Linked DNA regions of Danio rerio. The protein of the gene in region 1 interacts with the protein of each later gene in a biochemical or structural test. Links are inferred from orthologs where the notes say so. Each region holds a gene or a part of one and is shown on either strand. Other genes may lie near its edges.

Region 1 (3,828 bases):
GATAGAAAAAAAAAGTCTGTTAATTCAGCAGTCTAATAATAGTATTAATACGAATATTTGCTCTAGATTTACAAGATAGTTCACCCTAAAATAAAAATTACGACATCAATTACCCTCCCTCTTGTGGTTTTAAATCTTCAAGACTTTCTTCTGTTCAACACAAAAGAAGATTTCCTGAAAATGACAATTTCATTCTGAGGTGAACTATCCATTTAACCTTTATATTAATTTATCCTTTACTAAACCTGTTAGCAAAGTTTTTATGTAATCCATGTTTCAATCTGTCATAAAAACAAGTTTCAAAAATGACATTTATGCCACTATATTCCAATAAATCGAAGTTAAAGAAAAATGTTGGAATTAGATTAAAGACAAAACACCTTAAGACTTGTTAACCTAAAAATCATTTAATAGATTAATAACATTAAGTGTCTGTCCAAAGGTGCAATAGATAGGTGTTTGAGTTCTAAAAAAATTGTAACTCTTATTTAACCTCTGATGATGAAACAATATATTATATCAAGGCAATAAAACATACTTCTTTCACGACAACGATCAGGATTTTCCACTGAACAATGCTTCAGCTGGTTGAAGAGCTCTCCAGATGTGAACACTCTCACTAGGTACACTGCCACTGAGTATCGCTTCAAAAAAACAAAACAATAAAAACACCACAGTCAGCAACAGCGCAAGCATCTAAACACAAATGTGAATAATCAACACATCTTCATACCTTCCCAAAGTTTCCCCATGTGATGGTAACTCTGTTAGTGACTGTGGAGAGGTGTAACCAGGGTGTGATGTTGACAGGTCGACAGGGCCGCCGCGGCTCCACACCCGGTTTATTAGAGGGATAGTAACCCTGAACCAAAATAAACACATTTACAGCAAAACATTTTGAATGCGATTATGAGAAATGCTAAAAACAAAAGTTATTTATATAAAGAGTTCAGATTTACGATCATCCAAATCTGTAAAACATTCCTCTCTCTTACAGCCTAATCAGATTCACAACACTTACCGGTACATGACAGTAGGACTGATTCACTTTCACAGCAATATTGGGAGGATACTGGTCCTCCTGAACGCCGATAGAGTCTGTGTAGCAAATTCTGGGAGAAGAAAAGAGCATGTTAGTGTGCAGTAAATGCCTCTGACACTAAAAGTTGATTTACCGGTAGGATTTTGCCAAATTATTTACCTGAGAACGACCTGAACTGATTTCATCCCTGGCCGTAGTTCACTGTACACATAAAACAAATGGTTGAGTGCAAACGTGTTTTCATTTGTCATAAATACACAATTCCTTATTACATAAAGTGCACATTAATTTATTTACAAATGAAGAATTTGCATGCTTGCTCAATTAGTTTATTTGTAATTCAATATCCCAAAATGTGCATATAGAGTGGTGTGAAAGTGTTTTCCCCTTACTGATTTCTTTGCATGTTTGTCACACTTGTGTTTGATTAAACTTAAATTTTACACAAAGATAACAAACAAATGAAGGTTTTCAATAATTATTATAGGGAAAACTAAATATAAAATTACATAGCCCTGTGTGAAAAAAGCGTTTGCCTCATGAACCTAATAAATTGGCAGCAACAACTGCAATTAGGCATTGTTGATAACCTGTTAAGAGTGCTGAGGAGGAAATCTGGCCTGCTCATCTTAACAGAATAGCAGTAATATAGCCATATTCGAAAGGTTTGAGCATGAACCGCCTTTTTAAAAATCATGCCACAGCATCTCAATTGAATTCAGGTCAGGATAGGGCTGTGCAATTAATCGAAAAGCCGGTTACGATTATGATTATGAAAAAAACATTAATCGAGATGAACAATTGTTGCATCATATGCCGCCCCGTTTTCAGTTGTATACATTTGTTGCTCTGCAAAGCTCAGCTTTACATGAAAATGACTAAAAGCATGTGCTTTAAGTTAACATTTGCATGACCAAAACAACAGTTCAGATGTTTTACAATGTGCTCAGCCTGCTGGTTTGTTCATTCACACATTTTTATCATCACATGATCTCTTGTAATAAAATTACATGACTTTTTTTTTTTTAACGCGCATTAACATCGTTCACTGACATACATTCGAATCATGTTTTTAAAAGCGCGAACGAGACCGCATCGGTCAGCATTTGCACACTGAGAAGAGCAGAGCGCACACATCTAAAATCATCTTAACGAGAGCGCTTTCAATGGTCAACTAGGTGTCAAAACGCGGTGTTTAGTGATTATTCACATTAACCCTCATTTGTGTAATAAACAAACGAGTTAAGAATCAAAAGACAAGTGAAAGAGAAACCATTAAAGTTACAGCGAGCAATATTCCTGCTGCCGCCTGTTTTTATCATTATTAATCAAACAACAAAAGGAGATAATCACTCACTGCTCTTGACTGAAGGACTTTTGTAGCTAAAGTGTTTTTCTGACTGAAGATGCTTAAAGCACAGATTGTTTCATATTTTTATTCAATTGTATTTTTTTTTTTATTATTCTTTCCTAGCAGAGAGGAAAGTTAAAGTTGAAGTCAGAATTATTAGCCCACCTGAATTATTAGCGACCCTTTCCCCCCAATTTTTGTTAAATGGAAAGAAAATCCTTTTTTTAAAACCCATTTCTAAACATAATAGTTTAAATAACTCATTTCTAATGACCAATTTATTTTATCTTTGCTCTGATGACAGTACATTAAATTTTATTGGATATTTTTCAAAATACAAGCATTTAGATTCAAAATGTAATTCAAAGACTTAATTAGGGTAATTAGGCAAGTCATTGTATAACAGTTTCTTCTGCAGACAATCAAAAATATATATTGCTTAAGGGGGCTAATAATATTGACCTTAACATAGGTTAAATAATATTTAAACCTGCTTTTATTCAAGCTAAAATAAAACAAATAAGCCTTTCTCCAGACGAAAAAAAATATTAAAAGGTAATACTGTTAAAATTCCTTGCTCTGTTAAACATATTTTCTGAAATATTCATTCAAAATAAAATTCACAGGAGGGCAAATAATTTTGACTTAAACTGATAATTGTTTTAAATAATTGTGATTACAATTATGACCAAAATAATCGTAATTATGATTTTCCCTAAAATCAAGCAGCCCTAGGTCAAGACTTTGACTAGGCCAACCCAAAGTCTTTTTGTTATTCATTCAGCCATTCAGAAGTGGACTTGCTGGTGTACTTTGGATCATTATTACAGGAAGTCTTCCAGGACCTGAAGCATCTAAATAGGCCCAGACAATCACACAGCCACCACATTTTACAGTTGTGCTTTTTCTGAATTGCGTTGTTACTTTTATGATACACATAATGTGACAAACATTCCTAAAAAATTTCAACTTTTGTCTCTTAAATCCATAAAGTATTTTCCCAGAAGTTTAGGAGATAATGAAGATGTTTTCTGGCAAAACTAAGACAAGCCTTTATGATGTTTTTGTTTAGCAGTGGTTTTCATATTGGAATTTAACCGTGCAAACTATTTTTGCCAAATCTCTTTCTTATGGTGGAGTCATGAACACTATCTGAGGCCAGCAGTTCTTTGGATATTGTTATGGGATCTTTTGTGACCTCTTGATTATCTCTGTGCTATTGGGGTAATTTTGGTCTGCCGTACACTCCTGAGAAGATTCTCCTCTGTTTCATGTTTTTGCCATTTGCAGATTCACTGTGGTTCAATGTAGTCCCAAAGCCTTAGAAATGCCTTCATAACCTTTTCCAGGCTTATAGATCTCCATTTTCTTACTCATTTGTTTTTTGAATTTCTGCATGATGTCTAGCTTTTGATGATCTTTTGGTCTACTTCTA
Region 2 (3,828 bases), on another chromosome or scaffold:
TCAGATTAATAATTTCCGCACCTATGTGGACTTGTATGTGAAGGATAAGGTGGATGAAACTGGTTCTCCCCTGACAGTAGTTCACGAGATGGTGAATGAGCGCTGGGAAGTGTGTCTTACCCTTAGTGAAAAAGGGTTCCAGCAAGTCAGCTTTGTTAACAGCATCGCCACAACTAAGGTAATCATAGTGTCTGTGGGGTCTTAAAAAGTATTAAAAGTTGATCAATAATGAGAAAATTAAGGCTTTTAAAAGGTGTTAAAGTCTTAATCAGGTTTTAATGAGGTCTTAAATTTTGTTCAAGCGTTGTCTAAAGTGTTTAACTCCAAAAAAGCATAAATGTATTCATTTTCCTTGATCCTTGCAATTGGTTTGAGCCAAGGCACGTTTAGCCAAGCTCCTCCATTCGGGTGACGTCATGTAATTTGCGGCAAACATGGAAAGGTGACGTGACACTTTCCACATATAGCGAACCCATAGAGTGGAACAGATAGCAAAATGGGAAAATGTAAGTTTGAGTACTTCTGATTTGAGAAAGATGGGTTTAAACAGTGGCTGAAGCCTGTCGCCAACAAAACAATCACGTTTGTTTCTTCCAGGCTTCTCTGAGTTTTGTTACACGGTTGTGCTTCATTGATTTATTGAACTACAACTGTTTATTAATATCTGTTTATTAAGGTCAAAGTTTAATATGGATTAGGACTTAGTGGCAATGAAGTCTTAATATATTCTAAGAAGGTCTTTAAAAAGTCTTAAAAAGGTATTAAAATTAACTTAAGGATTGCTGCATATACCCTGGTAATGTATTCAGATGAATAAACAGCCTTTTCAAAACTGTTCAAAAATGTTTTTTTAATAAATCTTCAATCAAACAGATGCGTCACATATTCTAAACCAGATCTATTGATTATTTAATGTCTACAAAATATAATGTAGTGTGTAAAGTTTTTTTGAATTCTTTTATTTGCTAGCAGTGGTTGGAAGGGAGGGATTTTAGCGTATCTTGCCTAAGCTGTCAATCATCTGACAAGAAATGCCATTATAAAGTGAAAGCAAATGTGTAGAATATGTATAAGATAATGTAAGTTGTATAAAGTTAGCTTTTTTTTGTAGATTTGGTGACTTTAATTTAAAAATGTATTAACATAAATAATAATTGGGTAAGCTAAAAGTGTCTGTAGTGTATATGTGTGAATGAGGGTATGAGTGTTTCCCAACGATGGGTTGCAGCTGGAAGGGCATTCACTGCGTAAAAACATGCTGGATAAGTTAGTGGTTCATTCCGCTGTGGCGACTCCAGATTATTAAAGGGACAAGCTGAAAAAAAAATGAATAAATGAATTAACATAAATATTTAATAAGGTACATGCATACAGTAAAGTTTCGTTGTGACAAACCAAGTCAATTTTCATTTTAAAAAGTCAAAAGCCAAGTTTCTTTCAGTTCAGTTTTAAAGCAGCCCTACACAAATCGTTTTTCAGCTTCATTTGGTCATTAAAATGCTGTGTGTTTCAGGGTGGCAGACACACAGACTATGTTGCAGATCAGATTGTGTCCAAACTGATTGAAGTAGTGAAAAAGAAGAACAAGGCTGGAGTAGCCGTCAAACCTTTCCAGGTACATTCAGATGTTCTGCAAACTGCATCAAATAGTATTGCCTTCTCATGGCATTCTAAATTAATCACCATGTGCTGGTTTAACTTTGTGTGCAGGTCAAGAACCATATGTGGTTGTTTGTGAACTGTCTGATAGAGAACCCCAGCTTTGACTCCCAGACGAAAGAGAATATGACCTTGCAGCAGAAGAATTTTGGTTCTGCCTGCTCTCTGAGTGACAAGTTTGTTAAGCAGGTAAGAACTGATTTCTCGATCATTCATTGCTGTAAAAAATCATGGCATAATGGGTGAGAGTTTAGAGTTAATATAAATATGTTAGACGTATTTTACTGGTTAGTGCATGTTACTTGAGTTTTTTCAACACATTATTACCATAAAACAAAGAGAATGGGATTTACATGCAAAACAAACTTGACAAAATTACCCTTAATGTTAGAAAAGATTTCAACAAATTCTCCAACCAGTGGAACCAGTGGTTTCTCCCACATGCTCTTATTTGTAAAATCATTTTAACTATCAAGCATGTTTTATTTGAGTGTGTTGGCTTTACTTCAGTGAGGAAGGTATTTCATTTAGTTCATTTATTTGAAGTATACATTTTTAGCAACTTTTATAGTTTTAGCAAAAATAGTGTAAAACCTTAATGTAATCAACAACTCCAGCATACTTTTTCTCACCATAAAAATGGCCATGGAAGGTGAAGTGGTGTTTTAACATAACAAATCTTACCATCAATCTCTTAATAGCCTATTAGTTATATATTTAACAACCCAAAAACCTTAATACTGTTGTGTTTTGTTTCTCACTTAATGTATTCACTTTATATTGCAATGCATTAACAATTAATTGCAATTTAATTACTCAACTTTGTATCACTAAATCAGGGTTTTGCTAATGGTGGTTAAAGATATGTTTAAGTTGCAGTCAATTTGTCAACAGTGAAGTCATGACTTAAAATCAGAAAGACTTTCATTTGATCAGCTCAATAAATTTGTAATACTTGAATATGTCAAATATGTGTAGAACTTTTTTTGCTCTGCCACAAATCTTCCAGTTATGATTCCTGTATGACTGCCCTTGGATTTTGACTACTGTTAGTGCAATTGAACTTTTAAAGCTCTAATAAAATCCTAATCCATCTATGTCTGCAGGCTAATGGGTGTGGAATTGTGGAAAGCATTATGAACTGGGTGAAGTTTAAAGCCCAGGCTCAGCTCAATAAGAAATGCTCAGCTGTCAAACACACGAAGATTAAAGGAGTACCTAAGCTGGATGATGCCAACGATGCAGGTAACAAGAGGTTTGTTGTAATGTTAAATGGTCACGACACCTTCAGCCTGGATGTTCATTGCCGGGTGCTTTGTTTGTTTTAGGTGGAAAGAACTCCAATAGCTGCACTCTAATCCTGACCGAAGGAGACTCGGCCAAAACTCTGGCCGTGTCGGGTCTGGGTGTTGTGGGACGTGATCGATATGGTGTCTTCCCTCTGCGTGGTAAAATGCTCAACGTTCGAGAAGCTTCACACAAACAGGTCAATGACTAAAAATTAATCACTTTCATTTTTAGTTACATACCCCACAAAAGTTATTGAGAGAGAGAGCAAGAAAAAGAGGGGTTCCTTTCAGAAGAATTCCTCCATATGCCCTAATCCCTTTGTAGGATCCCTTTTGAAGGAACTGGAGCCCTTCCAAATTTAATGCAGTGTGCGACTCTAAACAACTTCCCTCCTCAAAGAATCATGTGGGCCAATGTATCTATCAGTTGTATTTTTCAAAAACACCAAATCCAGCACTTAGAAGTGGCCATTTTTGAGCACTTCAGTTTTGAACGACATTTCGGAGGGGTAATTCTATCGCCTTTTGGATGGCACTGTTTGTAAAACACTCATGCCATCAGGCTCACTTCGCTTATGGCTCTCTTACGCCACCCCTACACTATTCACCGATGCCAAGCTGACCAATTACAGATCTTACGCTACATGTCTCTTTGTGTACTTAATTTTTTGAGAGATGTGGCATAACGTATGGCTAAGGGTGTGCGATTGTTTAAAGATTGCGCTTCACTCTGTGCAGAACTATGAATTAGCCTTAAGCAGTGTACCATGGTCTTTTACTTAGCAAATTATAAATTTGAGACCAGCAATAATCAAACTGTCTATAATAATGTCGAATTAGACATTCTAGGTTGGCTCAATTGTATTTACTCAATAACGAA

What was found.
Region 2: of the proteins of pias4a (region 1) and top2a, one has a biochemical effect on the other in vitro, tested with the Homo sapiens proteins (2 studies listed by BioGRID). The link is inferred for Danio rerio from reciprocal best matches to the Homo sapiens genes PIAS4 and TOP2A.

The regions. Positions count from the first base shown.
Region 1 is NC_133197.1:20,264,211-20,268,038, forward strand, and holds part of pias4a (E3 SUMO-protein ligase PIAS4-A), read right to left. Parts: intron 1,244-3,828; coding exon 1,202-1,243; intron 1,113-1,201; coding exon 1,022-1,112; intron 863-1,021; coding exon 734-862; intron 645-733; coding exon 539-644; intron 1-538.
Region 2 is NC_133187.1:11,266,504-11,270,331, forward strand, and holds part of top2a (DNA topoisomerase 2-alpha), read left to right. Parts: intron 1-4; coding exon 5-178; intron 179-1,513; coding exon 1,514-1,615; intron 1,616-1,710; coding exon 1,711-1,848; intron 1,849-2,765; coding exon 2,766-2,904; intron 2,905-2,987; coding exon 2,988-3,145; intron 3,146-3,828. UniProt on the Homo sapiens protein: Key decatenating enzyme that alters DNA topology by binding to two double-stranded DNA molecules, generating a double-stranded break in one of the strands, passing the intact strand through the broken strand, and religating the broken strand.